Canis lupus familiaris: one gene and its partners. The main gene of each other region encodes a partner of the protein of the gene in region 6 in a complex. Links are inferred from orthologs where the notes say so. Each region holds a gene or a part of one and is shown on either strand. Other genes may lie near its edges.

Evidence for each region.
Region 1: LSM4 (region 6) and LSM5 share a complex: the UniProt entries of both Homo sapiens proteins name them as parts of the precatalytic spliceosome. The link is inferred for Canis lupus familiaris from reciprocal best matches to the Homo sapiens genes LSM4 and LSM5.
Region 2: LSM4 (region 6) and PRPF6 share a complex: the UniProt entries of both Homo sapiens proteins name them as parts of the U4/U6-U5 tri-snRNP complex. The link is inferred for Canis lupus familiaris from reciprocal best matches to the Homo sapiens genes LSM4 and PRPF6.
Region 3: LSM4 (region 6) and USP39 share a complex: the UniProt entries of both Homo sapiens proteins name them as parts of the U4/U6-U5 tri-snRNP complex. The link is inferred for Canis lupus familiaris from reciprocal best matches to the Homo sapiens genes LSM4 and USP39.
Region 4: LSM4 (region 6) and SART1 share a complex: the UniProt entries of both Homo sapiens proteins name them as parts of the U4/U6-U5 tri-snRNP complex. The link is inferred for Canis lupus familiaris from reciprocal best matches to the Homo sapiens genes LSM4 and SART1.
Region 5: LSM4 (region 6) and LSM7 share a complex: the UniProt entries of both Homo sapiens proteins name them as parts of the precatalytic spliceosome. The link is inferred for Canis lupus familiaris from reciprocal best matches to the Homo sapiens genes LSM4 and LSM7.
Region 7: LSM4 (region 6) and PRPF4 share a complex: the UniProt entries of both Homo sapiens proteins name them as parts of the precatalytic spliceosome. The link is inferred for Canis lupus familiaris from reciprocal best matches to the Homo sapiens genes LSM4 and PRPF4.

The regions. Positions count from the first base shown.
Region 1 is NC_049235.1:44,955,705-44,959,679, forward strand, and holds the start of LSM5 (U6 snRNA-associated Sm-like protein LSm5), read right to left. Parts: upstream 2,801-3,975; 5' UTR 2,689-2,800; coding exon 2,643-2,688; intron 1,557-2,642; coding exon 1,461-1,556; intron 1,176-1,460; coding exon 1,148-1,175; intron 472-1,147; coding exon 399-471; intron 1-398. UniProt on the Homo sapiens protein: Plays a role in pre-mRNA splicing as component of the U4/U6-U5 tri-snRNP complex that is involved in spliceosome assembly, and as component of the precatalytic spliceosome (spliceosome B complex).
Region 2 is NC_049245.1:48,284,600-48,288,813, reverse strand, and holds the start of PRPF6 (pre-mRNA-processing factor 6), read right to left. Parts: upstream 2,801-4,214; 5' UTR 2,786-2,800; coding exon 2,775-2,785; exon of another isoform or gene 2,164-2,774; coding exon 2,095-2,163; exon of another isoform or gene 1,887-2,094; intron 1,079-1,886; coding exon of another isoform or gene 988-1,078; exon of another isoform or gene 920-987; intron 1-919. Other genes in the region: SAMD10 (sterile alpha motif domain-containing protein 10), read left to right, coding at 3,073-3,519, 3,595-3,766, 4,129-4,214. UniProt on the Homo sapiens protein: Involved in pre-mRNA splicing as component of the U4/U6-U5 tri-snRNP complex, one of the building blocks of the spliceosome.
Region 3 is NC_049238.1:39,815,587-39,819,683, reverse strand, and holds the start of USP39 (U4/U6.U5 tri-snRNP-associated protein 2), read left to right. Parts: upstream 1-1,297; 5' UTR 1,298-1,338; coding exon 1,339-1,594; intron 1,595-4,060; coding exon 4,061-4,097.
Region 4 is NC_049239.1:51,806,163-51,809,662, forward strand, and holds part of SART1 (U4/U6.U5 tri-snRNP-associated protein 1), read right to left. Parts: coding exon 3,484-3,500; intron 3,379-3,483; coding exon 3,236-3,378; intron 1-3,235. UniProt on the Homo sapiens protein: Plays a role in mRNA splicing as a component of the U4/U6-U5 tri-snRNP, one of the building blocks of the spliceosome. May also bind to DNA.
Region 5 is NC_049241.1:57,200,347-57,204,323, reverse strand, and holds the start of LSM7 (U6 snRNA-associated Sm-like protein LSm7), read right to left. Parts: upstream 2,801-3,977; 5' UTR 2,791-2,800; coding exon 2,785-2,790; intron 2,702-2,784; coding exon 2,611-2,701; intron 1-2,610. Other genes in the region: SPPL2B (signal peptide peptidase-like 2B), read left to right, coding at 2,947-3,006. UniProt on the Homo sapiens protein: Plays a role in pre-mRNA splicing as component of the U4/U6-U5 tri-snRNP complex that is involved in spliceosome assembly, and as component of the precatalytic spliceosome (spliceosome B complex).
Region 6 is NC_049241.1:45,115,006-45,119,110, reverse strand, and holds the start of LSM4 (U6 snRNA-associated Sm-like protein LSm4), read right to left. Parts: upstream 2,801-4,105; 5' UTR 2,715-2,800; coding exon 2,712-2,714; intron 1-2,711. UniProt on the Homo sapiens protein: Plays a role in pre-mRNA splicing as component of the U4/U6-U5 tri-snRNP complex that is involved in spliceosome assembly, and as component of the precatalytic spliceosome (spliceosome B complex).
Region 7 is NC_049232.1:68,050,460-68,054,519, reverse strand, and holds the start of PRPF4 (U4/U6 small nuclear ribonucleoprotein Prp4), read right to left. Parts: upstream 2,801-4,060; 5' UTR 2,673-2,800; coding exon 2,646-2,672; intron 1,698-2,645; coding exon 1,520-1,697; intron 73-1,519; coding exon 1-72. UniProt on the Homo sapiens protein: Plays a role in pre-mRNA splicing as component of the U4/U6-U5 tri-snRNP complex that is involved in spliceosome assembly, and as component of the precatalytic spliceosome (spliceosome B complex).

The DNA of each region.
Region 1 (3,975 bases), on a different chromosome or scaffold from region 6:
AGAAGGAAAAAGAGCTTATTAATACCACCACCACACCCATCATCTAAAAACCCCTTTTCACCCATCAAAGATACCTGGCCTCTTTGCTCCTCCCCCACATTCCCATTTTCTCCAGGTCATTGCTTCTGTTTATAATCCCAACATCGTCAATTAATACTTAGAGTCTAAACAATGATTCTTGGCAAACCAAAAGATTAAAAAGCCCAAGCAAACTAATCTTTAAGCCTATTGTCATGTTCAGTAGCTCAGCTTTAGAGCCCTGATCACAGGAGCATCTCATTCCCAACTTAAACCCACTGGGCCATGAACATTTATTTAACCAAGCCAAGTAATCTGTAATCTCTGCCTCACAAAAATGGGCTACATCTAAAAAAACGCCCAGCTTTACTGTACCTTACCATTGTTATATTATTTCCATTTAGCAAAATTTGATCTAATTTAGTGATCCTTCTTCCTTCTGGTGTGATTTCACTAAATGAAGAAATAAAAGAGTCAAGATAAACAATGATAATCAAAGCCAACATTCTGATCCCTAAAAAAGTTATTCTTATATTATATGAATATGAGGTTGAGCAATTATGTCAGTAGTTTTCAGAGACAAAGGTTATCCACTGGATGACCAAAGGCAACACAGTGAACTGACTGGCCTCAGATCCACATCCACTAGGATCAAAACTAAAAGAAGCTAAAACTGGCCAAAGAGATCAAATATGAAATGGAATGTTTACTAGCCTCACCTTTTTACTATTATTTACTACTAATCCCTTACCCATTAAACCAATCTGTAATCAACTCAATTTTGAAAGCAGACACTGGTTGTGATCTTTAAAACTAATATAATGGAGCTATCATTTATATCTTAAGTTTAATGCCTTGATTTGTCTGAGCACAAACATCCTTGGCTGTTTTTAGTATCTTTTATCTCAAAGCTCAGTCTCCACTAAGTCCCTACCAGTCATTAATAATAACATAATAATTACATCCGGTAATAACTGATCCAATTTTACCAGTGTCAGTAGATAAAATTTCTATCTTTAAGGTATTTCTGACAGGCAATGTTTTCTCATTAATCATTTTAAACTCATTAATACTAAAATTGACTTAAGGAGAGATTCCCCCCAATTCTTTAATTTTTAACACTACTCACAACTCAGTGACATCCTCCAGTACCATATCTGAAATTTGGTGTTAAGAAAAATACATATACCAGGTTGAATTTACTCTGGCTTCTATCTTTACTCCATTTTAATTACAACGTTTAATACAATGGCTCCAGAGCAAAATACTAGTAATCGGTAGGAACTTTATCTTTTTTCAGTACACACACCTCTTAAAACGCTATCAAGAGGTGAATAAATTTCTAATACAATAACCAGTTACGTACTGACTGTCCATATTCTTATTTCTGTTCTTAAGTACTGCAGGAAAACCCATACCACCACCACCTTTTGAAAGGATACTGACAAAGTCATCAAATCCCAAAAGTGTGCCAACAATTTCTTTATCACTCTTCATCACAATGTGAATTCTTGATCCTATACATTTGTCCACGAGCTCTATATATATATATATATATTTTTTTTTTTTAAAGAAAAAAAAAGAGGGGTGGGGGGGTGGAGAAAAAAAGATTATTTTACCTGTTCATTTCTTCAACAAATATTGGAATGCCTACTGGCACTTGTTAGTTACTTACTGTGAAAGATAAACCAGAGAAAGTATTCATTCAAAAACTTTAGAGATTTTACGGTACGTTATCTCTGTTGCATAAACAAAAACGTCCTGTTTACCACTTACCTCTCCTTTGTTGAAGTTTATCCATCACGGTTGTGGTTTAATGTTATTTTAAGTGATTTTGATTAACATACGAAATGCATAATTAATATATAATTAACATCTGAGCCCCCCCCACCCCCTGCAGCCCAGGTGGTTCAGCGGTTTAGCGCCTGCCTGCAGCCCAGGGCGTGATCCTGGGGTCCTAGGATCGAGTCCTGCATCGGGCTCCCTGCATGGAGGCTGCTTCTCCACCTCTCTGGGTGTCTCTCATGAATGAATAAAAATGTTTGTTTGATGTTTTTTTTTAAGAGTCTAAGCCCCATGAAACAACTGTGGTTGTTTTCCCAGGACTCTATCCTCAGTGGGCAATGTCTGGCACATAGCAAGCGTTCAAAAAGAGTTGGTGGAATCAAAGAATGAAAACTTCCAAAACAAGGCCACTTCCGATAACTCCATCAACTCTTTGGCTACAAAATATCGGAAGAGGCACAACCGTATCCACCAGAGATTTCTTCCTGTCACTATCTCTGTGTTCGGACCGCAGTTTGAACGCCTCGTTAGCTGGCTTCGTTATCACTCGGCGTGATGCTTACAGGTGGAGCGCTCTATCTCCTCCTGGTGTGTGTGCTATCCGCAGGCAGTGGGAGGCGTCTGAATTTGTCCAAGAGCGCCCAGCCCTCGTGCCTAGTGCAGAGAGGCTCCCGGGCGGCCCGGGGCCGCAGACACTCGGGAGCCGGCAGACGAGCCGCGGAGCACTGAGGCCCTTCATCCCCACATTTCCCTAACACTCGACCAAGGGCTACTTCAGCCGCAGCCGCCCGGGCCCCAACACTTAGCCTGAGCCCTCCGGTCCCCTTCTCCGCGATTACCTAGAGGCAGCAGCTGCGACGGGTTAGTGGTAGCGTTGGCCGCCATGGCTACGCCGGAAGTGGCCCGCCGGCCTCGCCGTCAGCCCGGCAAGTTTGAAAGAGCGCGCTTCCGCTCCCCCCGCCGGCCCGCGGCCCGGACAGGCTCGACCAATCGGAGGCCGAACTTGCGATCCAATCAGTCCGCAGGAGTCGCTCCTTCCCAATCGCTTCTTTCCCGGGCGCTGAGCTCTCGGGGAGAAGGTTCCGTCCGCTGCAGGTGGTGCGGTCTGGGCACGTAGCGGCTTTCCCCGGGCAGTTTCCGACAGACAGACGCTAAAGGGATCCTGCTTTGTGAATAAATCCTTCCTGCAACCCGGAAGGTTTTGCAAAATACGGAAATCTTTGAATCGTCTTATTTTCTGCTATGAAGTTGCACCTCATCTCAAGCCAGGATCTTTTTTCAGACCGAACCAAAAATTTTTTTTTTTTTTTTTTTTTTTGCCACTAATGCACTGTGTTGCAGTTTTTGTAAAAGCCGTTTTTCAAAGCATCTACTCCTAGAGCGCCCATGTGCCTCAGTGGGTTAAGCCTCAGACTAGATCTCAGCTCAGGTCTTGATCTCAGGATCCGCTGGTTGGGCTCCACGTTGGGTGCGGAGCCTATTTAAAGAAGAGAGAAAAAAGAATCTAGTGCTTCTTTTTAAAGTCCAGTGAATTGAAAACCCACAACCAGCATTTAAAAAGAAAAAAAACCTTCTACAGTGGAAATTTAAAACACATTTTATTTTTATGCCTACTACCTTATCATTCTTACCTTGTTGTAGCTAGGAGTCCAATTTATCACAGACTGTATCCACTTTCAACACTTAACTGTCTTGTCTTATAAGCAGCCACCAGATGTCACTGTCCGCTAATGTCATCACACAGGAAACCTTAAGGCTTTTTGTTTTTTTTTTGTTTTGTTTTGTTTTTTTAAATTTTTATTTATTTATGACAGTCACAGAGAGAGAGAGAGAAGCAGAGACACAGGCAGAGGGAGAAGCAGGCTCCATGCACCGGGAGCCCGACGTGGGATTCGATCCCGGGTATCCAGGATCACGCCCTGGGCCAAAGGCAGGCGCCAAACCGCTGCGCCACCCAGGGATCCCAGGCTTTTTGCACTTCTGTTTTGCAAAGAATAGAAAGCAAACAAATTCTCTGCCTTAAGTCTGTTTCATATTTGTATCCCAGGAACGTAAGGCTGACGAGTCTAAACAGGAGAGAGCAGAAAAAAACATCATTCATTCATACAACAGATAGTTGTAATACACACATCATTCATTCATGGAACAAATATGCATTAGCTACACACTATT
Region 2 (4,214 bases), on a different chromosome or scaffold from region 6:
CTCGGGGGTGAATTCCATGCAAATCTCTCCTTGGGCGTGGTGCTGGGCTTGGGTACCAGTCATCACCTGGGCCCATGTTTTAGGTGGACATGCACGACGACTCTATCTCCGAGTGCGCCTTTGCTCGTGGTGCCGTGGGCGTCCTCTGGCACCCGCATACGCCTGGGGAGAGCGCCCAGACCCCTGGCGGTGCAGGCTCAACTTGGTGGGTAGCAAGTCTGGCCTTCTGACCCCGGCGGCCCCCAGCCCACCCTAGCACTTCCCAGGGAGGCCTGGAACAGACGCATCCCTCTTCCCTGCAGCGGCCTCCTTGGAGCGGCTCTGTCCTCCCCATGCCCCGCGAAACCGCCTTCAGCGGCACCCCCTGAGCCCCGGGCCAGATCCTGGGGCTGCGTAGGGAAGGGGACAGGTGCTGCCCGGCTGTCTTCCTGGAGTCCCCTGCGGTGGGTTAAGGGAGGCTCCTAGGGGAGCAAGTGCCCCTTGAGGGAGAGATCTCTGGAGAAGGCGAGGATAAAGGAGTGAGAAATGGAGGGGTCGGTCTGGCCCTCCACCTGGGCCTCGGTGGACCGACCATCCCAGGACCAGGGAGGATGTCCGCCTCCGGCCCGCGCCCTCCCGCCGGGACCTTGGCTTCCTCCTTTCCCCGCCTCAGAGGCCCCCGGGGGGTGGGCCCCCCGGGAGGTGCAGGCGCTCGTCCTGGAAGCCACCGCCAGGTTGCAAGGTCGCCCGGACCCCCGCAGGCTCCCTTTGCAGAGCAGAGCTGCGCGCCGCCGCTAGACCGCGGAGCTCCCGAGCGCGCCCGGCCCCGGGCTCGGGCTCGGGAGCAGGTGCCTCGCCGCGCAGACTCGCCCGGCGGGCGCGGGGACCGGCTCGGGCGCGGGGCGGGCGGGGCGGGCGGGGCGGGCAGGCGGCGCGCGTTCCCCGCCGGCCACACGGCCGCCTGGCGCCCGGCGAGGGGCGTGTGCGCGGCCCGGATCCCTGGGCCCCATGTTCACGGAGCTGAGGACCAAGCTGAGCCCCCCGCGAGGCCGCGCCGGGGCTGTGCGCGCCGGCTTCGGGGAGCGCCGGGATGTGGACGGTGAGCAGGGCTGACCACGGCGCGGGCGGGCGGCGGCTTGAGCCGAGGGGGGCCGCATCCTGGCCGATCGGGGTCCCTGGTGCCTTTGTCCTGATGGGGGGTGGCCTCGGGCCGGGGCATCAGCGCACCCTTGGCTTGGAGGAGGTTACGGCTGGGGCTCCTGCCCCCCGCTGGCCCACCCCGCGGTCACCTTTCCCTTTGCGCGCCCTTCCCTCCCCTGCTCCGCCGTGGGGCCGACAGGAGCCGAGGCCACAGCTGGGCTTGGACGCCCCCGGCCCCGTTTCATGGTGGAATTCTGACGTTGGGGCTAAGAGGGAGGGACGGAACGACGGGCGGACAGACAGAAAGACGCAGATCGTTCCCCTAGCCTGGGCAGCAAATGGGCGGGGCCCGCTGGACCCCGACAGGTGCAGCGCCGCGGCGACGCCCACCTCGGCCAGAGCTTCACGCTCCTGCCCCTGCCCCTGTTCCTGCCCCTGCCTCTGCCCTTGTTCCTGCTCCTGCCCCTGCTCCTCCCCTCCCCCTGCTCCTGCCTCTGCTCCTGCCCCTGCCTCTGCTCCTGCCCCCGCCCCTGCCTCTGCTCCTGCCTCTGCCTCTGCTCCTGCCCCTGCCCCTGTTCCTGCCCCTGCTCCTGCTCCTGCCCCTGTTCCTGCCCCTGCCTCCTTCCCCTGTTCCTGCCCCTGTTCCTGCTCCTGCCCCCTGTCCCTGCTCCTGCCCCCTGCCTCCTGCTCCTGCCCCCTGCCCCCTGCCCCTGCCCCTGCTCCTGCCTCTGCTCCTGCCCCTGAACCTGCCGCTGCCCCTGCTCCTGCCCCTGCCCCTGCCTCTGCCTCTGCCCCTGACCCGGCCAGCCCACTCCGCCAGGCCCTGCAAGGCGAGGCCGAGTGGCTCTGGAACCTGTGCCCTGAAAGATGCCAGCTTAGAATAAGTCTTTTTCCGTGATATCAGAAACCTCATCCAGGCAGGGACCGCACCAGGCACACCCTCTATTTGATCCTGGACCTCAAATTTAGAGTCACCTGGGGTCATCCAATTCCGAAAAGTTGCAAGTATGAAGACGGCGTGCTGAATCGGAGGAATCTGAAGGGCTAGAAGGGGGAAGTGATGGGTTTTCCCCATGGCTGAGAACTCCTGGGCACACAGCCAACCCCTCCCTGCCCTCAGCTGGGGGCACTGGGTTGTGTCCATGGAAGGCAGGGTCTCTCATTCTAGGGCTGAGAGCCAGGGAGGCGAGGGCCCTGGCCGAGAACCTGCTTCTGCCTGCCGAGTTGGGGCCTAGGTGCTGTAAAGATGAAGGCGAGCCTGGGCCCAGCTTCCTGTCTCTCCCCAGGGCTCTACTGGCTGTGGACACCACACAGAGCCTTTCTCCATCCACCCAGCCAGCCAGCCACAGTGTTCCTGGGCACCTGCTGTGTGCCCAGACCTGTGCAAGGGTCAGGAGGCCATTGTTAGGGTGTCTGCCCTCCCGTGACCTATGTGAGCAACGAGCCCAGGAAGGACAGCGAAACTAAAACTTGAGGAGTGTAATGAAGTCTGTGGAAAGAAAGCGCCAGGTGTCCCCGTGGCTCCCCGAGCTCATGGCTGGCCCCTGCACACCTGTGCTGAGCAGCCCATGTCCGCTGGATGCCCACCCACGGGAGCTGTCCTGGGCCAAGGGCCCTGCGACAGGTGGCAGAGCAGGGTTCCCGGGGTGGCTTGCCTGCAGTTCATTCAGGCTTCCCGCCGAGGGGTTGGCAGGTGAGCACCGCACGGCAGGAGCCACGTCTCAAACGCCAGGTATGGCTGCAGAGTTGGGGTGCCGTCAGTGGCGATGGCAGGCAGCATTCTCGGGGACGCCGTGACGCAGGGCCTCCCAGGACAGAGGGGCCGCAGCGTGCCCTGGTCTGGCTCAGCGTGCGTCAGCCTAGAGCGAGGGTGAGACGAGGCCTGTCTCAGGGTAGCTCCTCACCAGACTGTGAACCTTAGGCTCCCCGGTGGGCACACTGTCTCTCGAACCTATGCGGAACCCCTCGTGCTCCCCAGAGCACGGCCAGTGCGCCCAGAAGAGGAAGGATGCTCCCAGGCCATCAGCTTTGGGCTGGGCGGGCTACGCAGGACCGTTCTTGCGCACTTCCTTCCTGTCCCTGGGGGCTTGGGGCCCCCCGATTGGGAAAAGGGGCCTCGTGTTCAAGGGAAGATGGGTTGAGCAGGGAGTTGGTTTGCAGAGAGACGATCCTCTGGCCCCGGCCCTGACCGCCCTGACCAGGCGCCCATGCCCCGCAGCCACTGCACACTTCAGCTTCTGCCGAACCCTCCTGGAGCACACGGTGTCCGCTGAGAGCATCCCCTGCCACCTGCCTCGGACGCCAGGCACCAGCCTCACATGGCACGACTCCCGTAGCCAGAGGGCCGCTGGTGGCCGGCCGGTCAAGCTCCTGCAGCAGCCTGGCACAGAGGCCCCCCAGGTACCCACCCGCCGTCCCCCCTCAGCCCCTGCCCTCCCACCACCTCACCGCACCCGGCACCCGTCTCCCCCGCAGGGCCGGATGTACTCTGACCACTATGGCCTGTACCACACGAGTCCCTCCCTGGGCGGCCTGACGCGGCCTGTGGTCCTGTGGAGTCAGCAGGACGTGTGCAAGTGGCTCAAGAAGCACTGTCCCCACAACTACCTCGTCTACGTGGAGGCCTTCTCCCAGCACGCCATCACAGGTGCCCTTGGGGGCTGTGGCATGGGGGGGCATAAGGATCCCCTGGAGAGCCCCCCCAGCCTGCCTTTGTCTCTCTTGCCGTCATTTGTCTCTCCTCGGTTTCCTCTTGGGCCAACCTCTCCTGCCAGGGCTCTCTCTCCGCAGTCTCCCCGGCGTGTTGCTCCGTTCTCATGGCTTTTCTCTGCCCTCCCCTCTGCCTCTCACTCTCTTTCCCTCTCTAAATCCTGCTGTCTCCGCCTCTCCTTCTGTGTCCTTGAGTGTCTCTGTGTCCCCTTCCCGTTTCCCTCTCTCTGCCTCGGCTCTTAATGCCCCTTGGAGGTTGACCTTGGCTCAACCCCTCTCTGCTCAACCCCTGGCTCCCAGGCCGGGCGCTGCTGCGGCTGAACGGGGAGAAGCTGCAACGGATGGGGCTGGCGCAGGAGGCACAGCGACAAGAGGTGCTGCAGCAG
Region 3 (4,097 bases), on a different chromosome or scaffold from region 6:
CCGGTTGCCTGACCTCGGCTGACTATTGAACGCCGCCGAGCCTCGGTTTCCTCCTTTGTAAACGAGAACACAGCGCAAGTACGTCCAAAAGAGGTTGTGAGGAGGCGGGTATTCAGGCGGGTCACCCAGCGGCACGCCTGCCGCGCAGCCCCTCCAGCCCGCCCAGCGCCCGGGTCCACCTGTGGGTATGGCTTAACTGTCCCCGCCGGAGGACCCGGCGCTGTTCAAAATTTGCATATAGTTTTGGAGCCCTCTCTAAGAAAGGAGGGGGGCACCTGGTGGCTCGGGTTGAGCTTCCGCCTTCGGCTCCGGGCGTGGTCCCGGGGTGCGGGCATCGAGTCCCACCTGGAGCTTCCGGCAGGGAGCCTGCTTCTCCCTCTCCTAGGGCTCTGCCTGTCTTCTCTGTCTCTCATGAATGACTTAGAAAAGGACAAAATTGGGAATTTGTGATTAGCATAGCGACACACTGGCACATCCACACATAGAACACCACTGAGCAATCAAAAGGAACAAGCTGTTGGTACAGGAAAAGGCGTGGAGGAATCTCAAAATAAATTCTCCTAGCTAATAGGGCCCGGCCAAAGAGAGGGCACGCCCTGGGCTTCCATTTACATAAAGCTACTCCCCGTGGTGACAAAGCAGGTGTTTGGGGAAGGACAATTTTGGAGCTGGTGGGTAGGTTTCTTATCTTAATGGTGGTGATGGTCTCAGAGTGTGTATACACCCATCCATCAGTATTTAGCAAACGGCACACTTTAAGCATGCATTTGATTGCATATGCCCATTCCATCTCGGTAAAGCTGGACACACTCGATCAGGGCCGTGGAGGGGATCGTGAAGGCCACAGGCCCTGAAAGTTGAGCTTTCTTAGCTTGATCAAGGCCGTCTCTCTCTGCCTGTGGTTTGCATTTTCCTGGGACGCCGAGAACAATCCTCCAAGTGCGGAGTTGGAGTAGCTAGGTTGCTGCAGGAAGGGGATGATTTAGGGAGGTCGCCTAGTTCTCTGGTGAGCAGCGACTCTGGAGACCACCTCCCGGGCACAAAGAAGCTCGAAGAAATCCGGAGCCCAATGAGACCTCTTTTTTTTTTTTTTTTAAATCCAGAAAATTATGGGTAAGGCGGCAGTAGGCCCGCAGGCTTTTCTCAGGGGCGCACGCAGAAGCTCAGACGCCACAAAAGGCGCAGTACTTCCCAGAGGATTTCTCGCGGCAGGATGTGTCCTGCACCGCGACTCGTAGAGAGCCCTGGGCACGATACCAGCGCGGCTTCTGATTGGCTCCCTGCCGCGCGCTACAGCGTGCCTGGAGCCTGCGCAGAGAGACCGGGCCGGTAGAGGAGATGTCTGGGCGATCCAAGCGTGAATCTCGTGGTTCTACCCGCGGCAAGCGCGAGTCCGAGTCGCGGGGCAGCTCGGGTCGCGTCAAGCGGGAGCGGGAAGCCGAGGCGCCGAGCTCCCGGGGCAGTCCAGTGCGTGTGAAGCGGGAGGTCGAGCCGGTGAGCGCGCGCGAGGCCCCGACGCCAGTCGTCCCGGCTGTGCGGGTGAAGCGGGAGCGCGAGGTGGACGAGGACTCTGAGCCTGAGCGGGAGGTGCGAGGTGCGCGGGGCTCGGCTGGGCGCGGGCTCCACTCTCGCTCTCTCCTTTTTCCATTTCCAACCTTCCCTGGGGGTGGGGGTGAGTGGGGAATTCACACTCCCTGGTGTCCGCGACCGGACTCGACTGCCTTGTGGGGAGGACGGTACTAGTTGTCTAAGACTGTAATTTTGCCTTCCGGTCCTGGATATCGGTATACGGTTATACTTTAATAGTAGCTCTTAAACTTCTTGCTTAGAATCCTTTGTTTGGGGCAGCCCCGGTGGCGCCCCGGTTTAGCGCCGTCTTTAGCCCAGGGCGTGATCCTGGAGACCCGGGATCCAGTCCCACGTCGGACTCCCTGCATGGAGCCTGCTTCTGCCTCGGCCTGTGTCTCTGCCTCTCTCTGTCTCTCTCCTGAATAAATAAATAAATAAAATCTTAAAAAAAAATCCTCTGTTTGAACTATATTTGTATTACATATAGAGTCCGGAATAGCACCTTGCTCATAGAGAGTGCTTGATAAATATTCGTTGAATAATTAATTTCAGGATATTCTTTGATTTTTTTTTTTGAAGTGCCTTGTCAGCTTCATGTTTCCCTTTCTTTGGAAGAGACGTTGTTTCTTAGGTATTTTGTATAGTTGTGATAAGATTGTTTTTTCTGGGACACACTAGAATCCCATTTGTTCTTCTGGTTTATCTTTTTTGTTTTCGTTTTGTCTGTCCCTTTTTATTTTTATTATTTTTTTAAATTTTTATTTATGATAGTCAGAGAGAGAGAGAGAGATTGGCAGAGACACAGGCAGAGGGAGAAGCAGGCTCCATGCACCGGGAGCCTGACGTGGGATTCGATCCCGGGTCTCCAGGATCGCGCCCTGGGCCAAAGGCAGGCGCCAAACCACTGCGCCACCCAGGGATCCCTCCCTTTTTTATTTTTATGATGAAGTAGATCACAGGCACTAAGATGGACCGAATATAATGCACAAGTATGGTTTAAAGGAGAGTGAAAACATACATCCTTAAATTTGCCATTTGTCAAGAACTGTGAAGGATTTGAGATTTTATTTGCAAGCTGCCTAGGTAGCCTGCCACAGTTTTCTGGATGCTAATGAAGGCCGTGGAGTTTGTAGTGTCATTCTCCACGGTGCAGTTTTTTGTTTTTTTTTTTTTTTAAGATTTTACTTATTTATTCATAAGAGACATAGAGAGAGAGAGGCAGAGACACAGGCAGAGGGAGAAGCAGGCTCCATGCAGGGAGCCGGACGTGGGACTCGATCCTGTGTCTCCAGGAACAGGCCCTGGGCTGAAGGCAGACGCTCAACCGCTGAGCCACCCGGGCTACCCTTGAAGGGAACTTATACTCACAGTGGAACTCTGGGCTTACAGAGTTTTTTATAGTGGTTTGTGAACTTGCCTCCTATTTGCTCTGTGGGGAGATCCCTGTGTCTGTCTTCCAATGCTGTTTACTACACATCTCCTTAACAAGGTAGTCTGAAGGCAGATAGTGCCTCTGGTCACAATATGGACAGAAACATGAGAGACCCATGGACAATTGTCTCCTAATGCTATCACCATTAGAAGTGGTACATAACCAATACCTTAGAAGCTCCCATACGCCCCTTCTCAATTGTATCTACCTTCTTTACTTGCTTAGGAATTGACTGTTCTGAATTTTTTTCTAATAATTTCTATTTTTAGTTGTATATCCCTAAATACTACTAGTTTTACTTTGTATTTGATATAAATGGAATCATACTATATGTGGTCTTCTGATTTGCCTTTTTTTACTAGCCATATTTTTGAGGTTCATCCAAATTGGTGTTTATGGCTACATAGTGTTATATTGATGATATACCAAAATATGTTTATCTGTTTTATTTGTGGTGGATATTTGATTTGTTTCCAGTTTGGGCCCTTTCAGATACTGCTGCTATAAATATTTTTAGTAAAACACTTCCGGTGTACATATGCAAAAGTTTCTCTCAGGTTTATAAGTAGAGATTGCTGGGTCAAAGGTTCTCAGCTTGATCTTGCTGTACTGTTTCCAGGAGGTTGTAACAGTTTATACTTCACCAGCAGTACATGAGCATTTCTATTGCTCTCTGTATTTGCCAACACTGGGAATTTTCTGATTTTATTTTTTCCTTTCTGGTAGGTGTGAAGTGGTATATCATTGCACAAGGAAATTGGCATTTTCTTGATTGTTAACAAGGGTTATATTCCTCATTTTCTGTTGGGTTGTTGTTTTCTTATTGCTTCACCAGATTTCTTTATGTAATCTGCAAATGAGTCCTTTGTTGGTTATATGTGTTTCAAATATATTCTCCCAGTTTGGTGCTTGTTCCATTAGTGGGCTTTTTGGTGTATTCCTGGGTTACCTGTGTATGGGTTCATCCTGTTTAGTTTTTCTCATTTTTTGGTTTGTACTTGTAGTTGACCCTGAGTACGAGTTTCCCATTTTCACAGCCTGTGATGATTTCCCTTTCAGCAAAGAATGGCCGTGTGGATTCTGAGGATCGGAGGAG
Region 4 (3,500 bases), on a different chromosome or scaffold from region 6:
GGCCATAAGAGGACACAGCAGGAAGACAACCACCTACAAGCCTCAGGAGAAACCAGACCTACCAACACCTTGATCTTGAACTTCCAGACTCCAAAACTTTGAGAAGTAAATTTCTGCTGCTTAAGCCACCCAGTCTGTGACATTCTGTCACGGCAGCCCTAGCTGCCTAAAACCACAGTCTATCTATTTATGTCTTCTTCAATGTCTTTCAAAGATGGACTGCAACTTCCCCCATAGAGATCTATCTCACACATCATTAAATCTTTTTTTTTAATTTTTATTTATTTATGATAGTCACACACACAGAGAGAGAGAGAGAGAGAGAGAGAGAGAGAGGCAGAGACACAGGCAGAGGGAGAAGCAGGCTCCATGCACTGGGAGCCCGACGAGGGATTCGATCCCGGGTCTCCAGGATCACGCCCTGGGCCAAAGGCAGACGCTAAACCGCTGCGCCACCCAGGGATCCCTATCTCACACATCATTTATTCCTTTTTATTTTGTTGCAATCGGCCTCTCTCTTATCCATTTTGTTATCACTTATCTATGCTACTTTACTATTTATACTGCTTTCACAAACAGTACCTTTTTTAAAGTTATACTTTCTCTCTCTTGTTGGTGTGTGTAAACACAACTGGCTCTTATCTGGTAATCTTATACCTGGCAGCCTTGCTGAAACTTGTGTGGTCTGGCTCTCAGTTCCCACCACCGCACCCCAAAAGACCACGATTTAGACAAGACCATCAGTGACCTCCATGTTGCCCAATCCAAAGGTCAATGCTCATCCCCAATACCCAAGTTCTCTGGAGCATGCGTCACAGATGCTTACACGCTTCCTCTCAAGAGCCACTTGTCACGTGACTCAGGACCTTGTCACATGACCCTCTCCTCTTGGCTACCCTCACGCACTTTCCCTTCTCCACACTCACCGTCCTGATGACTCCAGCTGATCCTAGGACTTTAAATGACTTCTGCATTTATAACTCCAGTCTCAGCCTTTCCCTTAAAGTTCAAATTCACATATCCAACTGCCTGTTCAGTATCAAATACCCCTAATAGAAAAGCACTTTTTATTAGACTTAACCAAAACCGAACATTTTGTTATCTCCCCAGCTCTTCCCATCTCAGGAATGGCCTTACCCTCTCCTTAACTCAGCAAGAGGCCAGCTGTTCAAGTCAGAATTCTTGGGAGTCATCCTTAACTTCTTGTACCCACTCACAATCTTGCACACAATCTACAAATGAGCGCTGTTGATTCTACCCTCAAAATGCATTCCAAATACAGCCACTTCCTCCTGTTTCTGCGGCTACCATCACAGTCGACGTCATTCCAACTGGATGTCTGCAACAGCCTTCCACTGCTTTTCCTCCAAAGACAGAACTCTGATGGCTACATCTACCGCAACAGCAAGTCTCTGCCTGAATGGCCCGTGACCATCTCCTTCCCTGTAACACTCCCTGGGGTTCCTGCCCCTGCAGCCATGCAGGCCTCAGCCAACTTCCTGAGCAAGCCCAGTGGCTCGTGTCTCAGGGTCTCAGGGGCCAGGTGTTCCCTCACCTTGGACTGCGCCCTTAGATGTCACTGATACTTACACTTCATCTGGATCTCAATGGTCACCTCCTCGGGGAAGCCCACCCTGACCAGAAGACCTAAAACGGGAGCGCTTCTTCACTCCTCATCTCTCCACTACCTGGCCTTTTCCTGTTTCTGCTCACAGTGGTTTTCCTACTGGATGTTGTTTATGTCTTCTTTCATGTCCTCTCACTAGAACAAAAGTTCCACAAGGACAGACTTCTGCACTCTTGGTTATCCTCATTCACACCCCTTTTGGCTACCGCCCCATTTCTCTGACCCTCTTTGCAGCAGCGGTGGACAGCATACAGCCCACCACCTGCTCTTGCCAACCAAGCCTTTTTGGATCACAGCCACGCCCACTCACCACACCATCCAGGGCCATGTTCCCTGCTGCAGCAGAGCACCTGGGTCACTGAGGCCGAGACCACCCGCCGCTGCACCTCCAACATTCGCACAGTCCACCTGCTCTCGCTCTGAGGGACTGTCCCCAATTGCTGGCCTGGCTTCCTTACCTCCTCAGTCTTGCTGACTCTATTATTCCAGATCGGACCTGCCTCTCAGGAATTAGAGGACTCCCTACTCCCCCTCCTCAAAAGCCTTACTTGGCTGCTGTGCCACCCACTCCCATGGCTCTCTTCCAGCTCAGGGGCTGCTGCTTCTCTGACCCCACAGCAGGAGCCCCCACGGGCTGGGCCACTGCTCCAGTCTCTCCCCCCTGAGCTGGGAGGGGTAGGGTGAAAAGCGTGGACTTTGGAGTCAGGCTGTTCAAACCCCAGCTCTGCCACTTACCAGCCATGTAACCCCAGGTCACTTCCCTAAGGCCTCTATGCCTCAGTTTCCTCATCTATAAAACGGAGATAACAGAACCTTCCTCACAAGGTGTTGCAGTGAACATCAAGTCACTGGATATACAAAGCACGCAAGCAGGGCCTGGCCCAGGCAAGTGCCCACTGAGGGTCAACAGTGGTCATGGCCATAAGGCCCCACTGGCCTCTGTCCGGCTCATACTGCCAGGCCCTCAAGTGTTCTAGGCTACTCCTCCCAAGGACACCTGCTGTCTCTACCACCTGAGTGCCCAGTCTGCCCACCCACCTCCACCCTGAATCTCTGCAAGATTGGCTCCTCGTTGTTATTTATGTCTCAGCTCAAATGCCATCCCCTGCAAGGTCTCCCCTCAAAAGCAGACCCAAGACTCCAGCCCTCCAGCCATCTGCTCCGCTTTCCACAGACGGTCTGCCCAGCTCCAGGTGCTACCAGAAGTGCTGTGTGCGCATGTGCACACACGCTTACTGCTACCCTGCCCTCAGGCCACAGCTAGAGAGGCAGCTCCAAGAACACAGGGCCCCTCGCTGTCCTGCTCACCAGTGATACCCCCACCCCCGGGGACAATCCTTACTCCCAGGAGGAATGCAACACCCAGCCATAGAAGGAAAGAAGACAGGGAAGGCTCCAACTTTAAAATATCTTGAGAGCAAAACACTGGTTGATCTTAAAGAAATCTGCTAACAACATGACATTACACACACAAAAGAGTTCCAAACTGGAATGAAGGTGCCATGCTCCTGAGGACAGGTCACCATGGACACACCTGTCCCTAAAGGCCCTGGCCCTGAGGAGGTCAGCATGCCCCCAACCCCACGCTCAGCTCCTGGGCCCCCTCACCTTCTCACCGCTGTCTCGCAGCTGCTGGAGTTGCTGGAGCTGCCGCAGGCGACGCCCCTTCTCCAGCTGCTTCTGCAGCTCCAGCTCTGCCTCATCCTCCTCCAGCACCTCTGGGGACCCTGACTGTGGTCCTCCAGCCTCTTCTGAAAGAAACAAAGGGAAGCCCTGCTCAGATCACCTCCTTGCCCAGGGCCCCTCAGCCCGGCCCTTGCCACCCCTACCCTGCCCCGGCTGGACAGGCCCCTCACCCTCATCGCTGATGTCC
Region 5 (3,977 bases), about 12 Mb from region 6:
GCGCATGCGCAGAGGAGCGGCGCCTACACGGCCAGAGGGACGCGCCCCAAAGCCCTGCCCCTCCGGCCTTCAGGCCTCCCGGCCCAGGCACAGCTGGCGAAGCAGGGGTGCCCCCACCACGCTCCACCGCGCTGCTGTAGTGTCTGCGGGGAGTACGGGGCTGGACGGGACCGACAGCTCTGCGCACCACGGCGTGGGGGCCCAACCCGGCCTGCTGCGCTCCTGTGAGCAGCTTCACCGGCTCAGGGCGCCTTCACGCCTCCAGCCGTGACCGAGATCGCCTGGCTCTGTGCCTTCCTCTCTCCCCGACTGACCTCCCCTCCGCCCGCAAGACAAAGGTCCCGAGGACACTTCCCCGACGAGCTTATGGGCAGCGGGCACTGTGGCCGCACCTGCGGGTCTGCCCTCCTCCGTGGGGCACGAGCAGAGTTCTAAAATGGGGCTGACCCCGGTGACCACCCAGTGGAACCCCTCCCCTCAAGTGTGGGAGGGAACCTGTGAATAGGACGGGATGCCACTCCTGCCATTAGGTTACAGGAGGATAAAGACGAAGGAACGGGCACGTGTGATTACGGTCCCAGAATCAGTGCCCTCTCAGCTCACCTAAAGAGATTCTGCTCGGCCGGCCTGACCTAATCAGATGAGCTCAGGGGAACAGGAACTGTGTCAAAAAATTCAAAGCATGAGAGGGATCTTCCCACTGGCCTTGAGGGAGCAAACTGCCATGCTGTGGACAGTGCTGTGGCCAGGGCCGGCGGGCAGCCTCTAGGACACCTGTAGCAGAGCTCGGGGACCCTGGTCCTACAGGGGTAGGACCCTCGCAGGGGACCAAACCCTGCCCACAACCAACAGGGCGTCTGAGACACTCCTTTAGTGCAACCTGAGCCCCTGAGCCCAAGGCACCCAGACTCCTCCTGACAAACACCACAAGATAATAAATTCATGTTGCGTAAGCTGCTAACGTGGTGGCAACTTGCTACACAGCGTAGAAAACCCATATGAGCACCCTGAGAAACGAGAGCTGTGTCTCCTTCACGGGTCCCAGAGCCAGCACGGCGCAGACAGAGCAAACATCTGTTCGGGTTCAAGTTCTCACCACTGCTGGCTACCTAGACTTGCAGGCACCGCGCTGTTAACCACGCCGATGCTACCCAATCGTCCACATCTCCGGGAGAAAGGATCTGGGTCACTGTCTCATGAAACACAACGAAAGCAAAGAGGCAGCTGAAGAAATGAAATGTTGCTCAAGTGCTTGCTTGTGTCAGAAACCACATCGAAGGTGCCTCCAACCCTGTGATCCTCACCACCGCCCGGTGAGGTGGGGGGAGTGAAGAAATGGAGCCCTGGGGGGCGGGGTGAGCTGCCCGAAGTCCCACAGCCAGTGCGCCAAAGAGCTGTGGCTCTGACTCCAGCTGCCTGGTGCTAGGACCCCAGAGGCCACACTGCCTACACGCACCAGCAACACTGGGCCCAGCTCCTGCCCTCCTCACTATTCCAGGGGAAAGATGCAGAGGTCGGTGTCGTGTTTACTGCGTAAAGCGGGGAACGGTGACAGACGGTACCAGGAGCTGACACCAAAGGCGTGGGGCCCAGGGTGGAGGATCAGGGAAGGCTTCCTGGAACAAGAATCCTGAGCTGAGAGCAGAAAAATGACTGTGGAGTTAACCTGGAGTTAGAAAGAGAGACTCCCAACGGCGTCACTCGTGCCAAGCCCCGGCCACCCCACCGCGGCCTCATACCTAACCTGGCCGCACCTGCAGCTCTCCCAGGAATGCAATCTCCACCAGTCAGCCTGGAACTTCCAGGTCAGCCCTCCCGAGCTAGTCTTCCTGAAAGAACCCCCAGCATCCCCCAGAGGAGGGGGACCCTGCCGGAAGCGATCCAGCGTCTGCTCCTGCACCCTCTGCCTACGAAACCCTCTGGGGCTCTGCGCCGTCTCCTAGGTGGGGTGCTCCCTGGCTCGTGAATAGTGGGAGAAAGCTCCCGAGATCTTTGAAATTCATTCACCCAGAGAAGCCTTGTGTTTTAAGCCTGGTAAGAGCCCAGCAGGCGGGTGCACGTCACAGCCTGGTGGCAGCTGAGAGCTCCGCAAGGCTGCCCCTTCCCCGGGAGGGACCGGGCGGCCCAGAGGAGGGCCCACCTGTGTTTAACAGGCCCCTCTGGACCATCCTTGACACCGGGCCGCGGCTCGGCAAGGGAGATGCCTGGTTGGGGTGCCCAAGCTAAGGCATGTCCTGGCATCTGGCGGCATCCGGGGGTTGGCTGCTCCCCTCCCCCCAGCGCCCCGACAGCCCCGAACAATCTGGCTGGCGTCAGGGTCACGAGTGCGGAGCCCAAGGAGCCGGGGCGGGGGTCAGTGACCAGCGGGGACCAGCGGGGGCGGCTGCCTCGGAGCGAGGACCCCGCCTGCGCCTCGGCCGCTTCGGGGTGTCTGCAGCTCCTCCCGTGCCTCAGTTTCCCCGCGTGCACGGCGTCGGACGGAGGCCGTCGCGAGTCCTCCCAGCAAAGCGCTCCGGCCTGCGCCCGGGCATCCGCCACCCTGCTCGCCTCCCGGAGCCGTCGACGGGGAGCGGGCGGCGGGGCGGGCGGCGGGCGGCGGGGGGCTCTCACCTTCGCGGCCTCCCTGAAACTTCACCCGAATCGTCTTGTCGATGTACTTCGACAAGTCCAAGATGCTCTCTTTTTTCTTCTTCTCTTTGTCCTGCGGGGGAAGCAGAGCGCGTGAGGCGCAGAGCGCGGCCGGGTCCCACGCCGCCCGCCCAGCCGGCCCCGCCGCGCGCTCACCGCCATCTTGCCGCCGCGCGCCGCTCTGCGCAGGCGCCGCCGCGCGCCCTTTGACCCCGCCCCCGTGCGCAGGCGCGGAGCGCACACGGCGCAGGCGCGGCGGGGCGCGCCGGGGCGTTGCTGGGAAACATCTGCCGACGCCTGCGGCTCGACCCGGCTGACATGGCGGCGGCGGCGGCGCTGGCGCGGCTCGCGGCGGCCTTCCTGCTCCTCGCGACCCAGGTGAGGCTGCGTCGGCCCCGCCGGCCCCGCCGGCTGCGGCGCCCGGTCCCTCCGCCCCGGGCCCCGCGCCCCGCGGGAGCCCCGCCCGGCCTGGCCTGGGGGCCAGCCTCGGGTCTGCTCGCCCCCCGCGCGGTGGCCCGCGGGCCGGGAGCCGGGCCGTGACCTTGCGGGCCGGCCCCCCCCGGAGCCCTCCCCAGCCGCAGCGTCGCCCAGTTGCGCCTGGGTCTGAAGTCCGGGAGGCCCCCCGGCTCCCCAGGCCCTGCTCCGTCCCGAGGCCCCCGGCCGCCGCCGGGGACGCCCCCCGCCTGGCCCCCAGCCTCAGTTTCCCCTTCCGCGCGAGGTTAGCGCCCACCCGCGTGGTTGCGGTAAGCCGTCCGGCGTGGCCCCCGGTTCCCCACAGGGAGCGGCCGAGAGCCCGCGTCCCGAGTGGGGTCCAACCGCCGCCCCGTGTTCTGTTGCGTGACCTTGGGCAAGGGAGGCCCCAGCTTCGGGCGTCAGTTGCTCATCTGCAAAAGGAAGACGTCAGTGAGGACTCGGCGGTGATGCTCATGGGGTGACAGCTGCAGCGTGCTCCTCCTCGGGCAGCTGGGGTCAGAGGTCTCCGGGCCAGCGGGGGGCCTGCTGCCAGCCGGGGGGTGGACATCCTCCTAAGCGCACTTTGTATTTGCAGGTCCTCCCTCCCCGGTTCCCTGGGTGATGCAGCTCAGGGAGTGGTGTCCCATTAACCTTGAGCTGCCCGCCGCAGGTCCCCATCTCTCTCCTGTAGCCTCCGGTGGCCACTTGCGTCTCACACACCCCCCAGTCCATGGGCGGCACAGCAGGAGGGATGTCTCTGAAAGTGTGTCAGGTCTGGTTGCATCCAGATGAGAGCCGCCCCTCGGCTTCCAGCGCGTGTGGGAGGCCTCTGTGGTTGGGCGGCTTGGGACGCTTCCCCTCCTGTTCCTAGTTTGCTGAAGGCGCTCCGCCTCCGT
Region 6 (4,105 bases):
TCTCATTTGGACTTCATCTGTGCGATGGTACCCGGGTACAGAGAGCCACGGAAAAGCAGGAGGATCTAACACACGGGGGCCATGAGCCTCGGCCGCTGTTTACTAGGTGAAGTCTCAGGCTTTCTCGAGCAAGCCTGTTTTCTTGTGTCAAAGATGGGAATGTGGACCAGGATGGCAATGACACCCTTGGGTCTTCCTTCCAGATCACCCAAGAGGGGACAGAGCAAGGTTGGGCCTGGAAGGCAAGAATAAAGACAGACTCAGCACTGAGAGACAGAGAGGTATAGCCAAGGTCCCCCTAGATGAAGGACTAGCAGCCAGAGCAGGAGGGACCTTCCCAGGGACACCACAGCAAGATCCTGGGGAAGCCCACGAAAAGTAAGCTGAAGCCTGTCACCAGGAAACCCACAGGAGTCCTTTTATGGCATGTGCAGCTTCTATGCCCCTGCTGGCCTCTCTTTTGTCCCAGCAACTGGCAGCACAGTCCTGGAGAACCCCAGCTTCCCTGTCACGGGCAGTGCCCTATTCAGAAAGCAGCAGAGAGGACATCTAAGACACAGAAGTGATCCACACCTGCTCCCAACACTCCCCTGCACATCCACTCCCCAAAGGAGTCACAAGGCCAAGCCAGCTCCAGCCAAAGTGGCCCATTCGGTTTCCAGCAAGCCACACCCAGTCCAGCTTTCTGACCTTTGTTCCTGCAGTTCCCTTGGCCTCAGCAGTCCTTCCTCAGGCTGGTGGCTGCTCACATATCACCTCTCACCTAGCTTAGCCAGGCCCTCATAATAACCTCATCTGGGGATCAAGATTTCCACCTGGGCCACCCCCTGCTGCTTCCATTCTAGGACACAGCCAGTCTCTAATTATCTTGTTTATTATGTCTCTCTGGCTAGACTGGAAAATTCAGAGGGTGTGGACTTTGTCCAACACCGAGCTCAGGGCCAGGCACTCGAGAGGGACTCAGTAAATATTTGCTGAACAAATACACAAGAAAATGCATACACCATCCGGGGAGGCACATGGTGTGGTTGGGATGCCTGCCCCACCCCACAGATAAGAAAAGGAGAGGCGGCATTGGGAGGGACAGCTCTCTACGGCTGCAAAGGCTGGGAGCAGGGTCCACATCTTGCCATTTTTGAGATTCTCATCCCCAAACTGCTGGAGACAGAGGCAAGAGGAAGGGGAAGATCCCTGAGAACTTTAAAAAACTTGGTGGGGAAGAAATTTTTGAAGGTGCCAAGGGAGATGGGACAAGCCAGGACACCATTCCAGGGAAGACAGGGCCACCTGGAGTTGGGAAAGTCAAAAGCTTCTGGAAAAAGCATCCTTTCCCCTGGCCTTTTTCAGAATGTCTGGAATCTGGTTCTCAGGTCTAGACCAATCTAAGATTAGACCCGATGGCTTCCTGAGGCTCCCAATTCAGGAAGCTGTTACGGACTCCCCCTTGCCCCCCTATACCCTCAGATCCCTGCTTCCGGCCCCACTATAACCCACGGGGAACTGGGAGTGTGTCATGCCTTGTCCCTTCCTGGACATTCTTCAGGCTGAAAAAAAATATGTTCTTTGCACAAGCACTGTTCTAGGCTCTAGGAACATACTGGGGGATAAAATCCAAAGATCCAGGGAGCTTAAGGAAGAAGGAATTTTCCAGTTCCACCCCTCCTCTCAGGCCACCTCTGCCCTCCAGCAGAGAGGAACACACTACACTCCCTTCTCTCATTTCCTGCACCAGTGAGCAGTACTTAGTGCAACCCTCAGCTGAGAAACATGCAGGGACCCTGAGGGACTCTGGTGCTGATGGGCCAGGTACTCTCCTAGGCCTGCTCTGAATTTGTGTGGTCTTGTTTCCCTGTCTATACATTAAAAAAAAAAAAAAAAAAAGTAAGCTCTACTCCACGAGCAACGTGTGGCTTGAACTCACTACCACGACATCAAGAGTGGCAGGCTCTGTAACTGAGCCAGCCGGACGCACCTCCCTGTCTGGACACTGAAGGCAGGAGACACTCTGACTTAAATCCAGAACTTTCAGGATCTGATAACAGCATGATCCAGAAGAGGCTTCTCACCAGGACCTCAATTTCTCTTCAGTGAAATGGGAGGGTGCAGTTAGTCCACTCCAGGCTCAAAATGCTTCCCCTTCTCCGGAAACGACACCCTGTGTGATCCAGGGAGAAGACAAAGCCCCCTCTCTGGGTCTATTTTTTTCAGCCTTAAAACGAGAGGCGTAGAAGATCGTGCTAACATTCTAAGGGCCTTGCAAATCTTGACATTCTCAAACTGGTTTAGTTTGAGAACTCAGATCGGGCCCCCTCGGGTCGCTCCCACTTCCCAATATGTGAAGCTAGATTGGGTCGGATGCACTCGGAGCCACTCCCCTGCCCGAACTCCCTCTGCAGCATTCACCGAGCCCTTTAGCGGGTCTCTCAGGCCCCAGTATCCCCATCTGCAAAATGGGAAGACTGCAGCGAGGCTGACCTAGGATTACACGTTCGTCCAAGTCTATTCCCCCCGAGACTGACAGGCTGGATGCTCTGGGAGACCTCCCTGCCCTCTCCGGCCTCAGTGTGCCCGTCACGGGCCGAGGCGGCAGAACCGAGGCCCTGACAGCACGCTAGCTCCGCGTCGCCCCTGCCTGCAGCGCCCGCCCCGAGGGCCCTCGGCCGCCGCGTTCCCAGCCTCCCGAAGAGACCTCGCCGGCGCCCTGCCCTCACCATGGTGTCGGCGGGGAGCGGGCTCGCCGACCACTTCCGCCGCCGCCGCCGCCACTCACGCGCCGCCGGTAGCCGCCCTGCCGCGCGCCACTAGGCTGAAATGAAGTGGCAGCGACACGAACCAATCAGCGTGGGGCTCGAGGGACGAGCAGCCAATCCACGCGGAGTAGGGGGGGTCGGCTAGACAACGACGGGCGAGGTTGGCTGTGTTCTCGCCGGCCAAATGAGAGGCCGTAAAGTGTCGACGTGAGTGCTGAAAACGGGGGCGGAACCGCGTGCGCCAGCGCAGGGGGCCTTATGGGTAAAGGCGCATGCGCGGGTGAAACTCTCTCAGCCCTCCTGGGCTCCGCGCTGTGGGCAAAGCCGGATATTGCTGCAATTTGCAAAGGAAGAAATCGAGGCTCCGTGGTTATTGGGTTGTGCCTAATGTCTCCCTTAGGGCTCCTACACTTTTGATTTTCGTTATTGTAGTTGATCCTTATCCAAGGCATGTCCTTTGGTTAGGTTGGAATCCTGACTGTGCCCCTCTGAGCCTCAGTTTGCCCCTCTGAAAATTGGCCTCGTGATAGTGTCTACCCTCGGTTGTAGTAAGGATGAAAGGAGTTAAGCTAGGTAAAAGCACTTAGTACCCAGGCGTGTGATAAATATTTATTGAGCACCTGCTAGGTGTCTGTTCCTGGAAACACAGAGTGAACAAACCAGACGAAACTGGCCCTCCTGGGACTTAGGAGCCCGTTGAGAAGACAGGTGGCAAGGAAAAAAAATAGGCAAATGTGTTAGTTTCCTTGGGCTGCCATACAAATTACCATAGACTGGGTGGCTTAAAACAGCAGAATTTGGGGCACCTGGGTGGCTCAGTCTGTTAAGCATCTGACTTCTGCTCAGGTCATGATCCCAGGGTCCTGGGACCAAGCCCTGTGTGGGGCTCTGCTCAGTGGAGAGCCTCTGTGGTTCTCCATCTCCTCCTCCCCTCCCCACTGCTTGTGCTCTCTCTCTCTCTTGCTTGCTATCTCAAATAAACAAGATCTTAAAAAAAAAAATAGAGCTTTATTCATAAGTCTGAAATCAAGGTATCAGTAGGGTTGATTGCTTCTGGAGATTCTTAGTGGCTATTTGTCCCATTCATCTTTTCCAACTTCTGGTGTTTGTCAGCAATCCTCATAGTTCTTGGCACCCAGAAATATTGATTTCTGCCACTGTCTTCACATGGCTTTCTTTGTGAGTCTCATTATCTCAAGTCTTCTCTCTTTTTCTTTTTAAAAGATTTTATTTATTCATGAGAGACACACACACAGAGAGAGAGGCAGAGACACAGGCACAGGGAGAAGCAGGCTCCCTGCAGGGAGCCCGATGTGGGACTCCCCTCCTGGGACTCCAGGATCACCCCCTGAGCT
Region 7 (4,060 bases), on a different chromosome or scaffold from region 6:
TTCTTCTCTCAAACTCAGCTAACACTTCGGCCTGTCGTTCACTGATGTGCTCTTCAATTTCAAACACCTCTCCTATAAGAAGAACAGGTAATATCAGCATTATCACTAGATCTTCAAACAGAGGGGAAAATAATTTCTTACAATTGCAGTCTGTGTATCCTCTAGGAACTAATTTATTACATACTTTATTGTTTCTCAGTTTATTAAATTTTGCTAAACACAAAAAACTAAATGATAGCTCATTTAAAATTACTTAAGTCATCTTTTTTTTTTTTTTTTAAAGATTTTATTTATTTACGAGAGAGAGCGAGAGAGACAGTGCAGGAGTGCAGGGAGGAACAGAGGGAGGAGAAGCAGACTCCCTGTAGAGCAGGGAGCCCAACACAGGGCTCAGAACCTACCACCCTGAGATCGCGACATGAGCCAAAACCAAGAGTTGGACGCTTAACCAACTGAGCCACGCAGGCTTACCTCACATCATCTTGTTTTGACAACCTTACATCTACATACACACATAACTTAGAGGAGATCAGAAAGTAGAAGTACAAAGCACTTTCAGCAAATGAGTTAACTAGATCTTCTATCCAGAAGATAAAATAGATACAGTACTTTAACACTTGCCAAACCTATTCTCTAAACCAGCCCCAGCTGAGGATATCTATGACTTTAACTAGTAAACTGGAGAAAATTACCATTAAAGGGCTTTCCCTTAACTATAGACTTTTTGGATAACCTAGCAGTTAGTTTTAAAACCAACACTGGGGCATCTGGGTGGCTTAGTCGGTTAAGCATCTGCCTTTCGCTCAGGTCATGATCCCATAGTCCTGGGATCGAGTCTCAAGTGAGGCTTCCTGCTCAGTGGGGTATCTGCTTCTCTGCCCCTCCCTGGCTCATGCTCTAATAAATAAATAATAAAATAAATAAATAAAACACACACTGACTATGAGGATTTTTTTTTTTTTAAGTGTGGGTGTGGAGCCCAACTCTGGGCTTGAACTCACAACCTTGGGTGGTTCAGCGGTTGAGCATCTGCCTTCGGCTCAGGACATGATCCTGGAGTCCCAGGATCGAGTCCTGCGTCGGGCTCCCTGCATGGAGCCTGCTTCTCCCTCTGCCTTTGTCTCTGCCTCTCTCTGTCTCTCTCTCTCTCTCATAAAAAATAAATAAAATCTTAAAAAAATAAATAAATAAAATCTTTATGGGATCCCTGGGTGGCTCAGTGGTTTAGAGCCTGCCTTTGGACCAGGGTGGGATCCTGGGGTCGGGTCCCATGTCGGGCTCCCTGTATGGAGCCTGCTTCTGACTCTGCCTATGTTTCTGCCTCTCTCTCTCTCTCTCTGTCTCTCATGAATAAATAAATAAAATCTTAAAAAAAAAAAAAAAAAAAAAGAAAGAAAAAGGCTCTCTAGATGATGCTAACCAGGGTAGGCAAAGGATGGCCTTACATAGATCCAAGTTTAACTAACATTTTTGATATTATAATACAAAGATAAAGAGGGACTCACAATTTGCATCTTACCAGAGGTTATGTTAATATTTCCTGCTTCAATTCCAGCTTTAAGTCCTTCTTTTCCCAAAATCCCAGACTCTCCTTTGGCCAGACGCTCCCTCTCCTTCTCTTCCAAACTTCCGTAATAGATGTGTGGTTTCTTCACAACAGGAGCAACTAAGTCATCAGGTGCCTTAGTTTTGGTTGCCTGATAAATCAAAGACACGGATTAACCTAAGGTCTGATACTAACCACTTATTAGGCTTCCCCCAAAGGATGGAGCTCATCCTGAGCTTCAATCCTATTTTCCCCCCAAATGAAAAGGACAGGTCGGACACCAGTTCAGGTTATCTTCACTGACTGGGGGGCGGGGTGTCTCTCCAAGCTACTTAGGTTCTGCAGACGGGAAGAGGCTAATAGAACTAGTCCATCATTATTCTTGGTAACTTTTCTATCAAAGATTTGCTTTGGAACATGTCTGCATCATTCCGTGGCAACCTCTTCTTGGGTTTTATGAAATTTCCAAGGTTACCCCTCATCACAGGGGCAGTATCAAGGAGAACAACCAACGCAGTATTAAAGGGGGGCAAGTTAGTTACTTTTCGGTACATTTCAAACGTTTTCAGAGTAAGGCAACACATATGAAGTTAGGAGGCCAAACTGCAATGAAGTCTGACACAGACGTGAATCTGGGCCTTCTAGAGCTCAGGTTTTGGAGCAGTCGGAAGAGGTATTTACCGTTCGGGCCTGTAGTGAGGGGTGCAAATGAATTAAAACACGGGAACGGGGGGATCCCTGGGTGGCTCAGCCGTTTAGCGCTGCCTTCGGCCCAGGGCGTGATCCTGGAGTCCAGGGATCGAGTCCCGCATCAGGCTCCCTGCCTTGAGCCTGCTTCTCCTCCCTCTGCCTGTGCCTCTGCCCCTTTCTCTGTGTCTCTCATGAATGAATGAATAAAATCTTTACAAAAATAAAAATAAATAAAACACGGGAACGTACTTCGGGGTCTGGAAAACGCTGCTCCTCTAAGGACCGAGTCTCTCAGCCTTTCACCTCCGACCTCCACCGCCTTAGCCCGTTCCCCGAGGGACCCCATTTCGCAGGAACCGCCCCCCCAGCCCCTTCCGCGCTCCCCGCCAGAGTGAGTGGAGTTCCGTACCGTGGAGGCGGCTCGTGAGGAAGCCATGCTGAGCTCCGCGGCCGCCAAACCCCGGCGAAAGCCGAGCTCTGCGTTTTCAGACCGTCCACCGCGCGCCCGGCAAAGCGGAACTGCGTCACTGGCCGGAAGTGGGCCGACGCAGCGTCGTGGGTGGCGTGGGGCATGACGGGAGTAGTAGTAGGGAAGCGTCGTGGCGCCAAGAGTAGCGTGAACTTAAGGAGAAAAGCACGCGGCGGACGAGACTCTGCAGAGCAGTCTGGGAAGTGTAGTCCCGCTCGCTTAGCTGAAGATTCGCGGTGGGCGCCGCCGGGGTTCCGGGAGGAGGCCGAGCAGGCTTGGAAAGAGGTAGGTGCGTCGGGCCGCGCGGCCGCGGGCTGAGCTCCGGAGCAAATGGAGGGCTTCCGAGGCCTGCCGTGGCCCCCGGCCCCGCGAGGGGCTGCGGTGGGCCCGGAGCGGAGGGCCAGGTTGCCATGGAAACCCTCGCTGTGGGCCCGCGGGTGCCACTCTGCAGCTGGTCGCCCTCCCCGCTGTCGGGAGGTTGTCCCAGGGCCCTCCTTGGAGCGGGCTGAATGCGCAGTGGATTCGGGCGGCGGCCACCAGCTCCCAAGTAGAACGGAGGCCCGGAGGAGGAGCCACGGCCTGCTTTTATTGCTGGTCTTCAGCCGAGTGTTTGTACCGGGGTCGGAGTGAGGCGATGCCTGTCAAGTGCACACGGGCACCTCTGCACGGCCTGGGTACCGCGGGGGCGGGGGGGGGGGCGGGCTGCGGCATCCGACAGGAGCAAGGCCAGGGCTTTCCCCCCTGTCGGGGGTGGAGATGCTTGAAGTTTGGGTGATTCTCGGGCCGGACGGAGGCCCCCCCCCCCCCCCCCAAGGACAATTAGGATGATAATAATAATAATAATAGCTGGTGTTTATTGGGCGTTTACTAAATGCCAAGTTGTGTTCCAGGCACTTACACTGCCGTACCTCACTCAGTCTAGACAACAGAGGGCAGAACATGAGGAAACCAGCGTCCACTGTGAAGATGAAGCTAGTGTCCCAGAGGGTTGGCGTGTGGGATTAGAGCCCCTGCCCTCTGCCCTTGGGCCTCCTGAGCGAGCAGCTTTGCCCATCACTCGGTACTGCCTCCTAGTGGCGAGCTTTACAAAGTTTGCAGAAAAGTGAGGAACCTGTACGGCAGGGTTTTTTTTTTTTTTTTTCCCTCCCCTACTCTCCCTTGGAACTTCGGCTTCCTCTACCATTTGTTTACATCGGACTTAAGAGAGTATCTGATTTATTTCTTTGATTTTACCTTTTTTTTTTTTTTAAAAAGGGAAGATTTTTATTATTAAGTGATTCTACACCCAATGTGGGGCTCAAACTTAGAGCCCCCACATCAAGAGCCCCATCCATGCGCCACCAACTGAGCCAGCC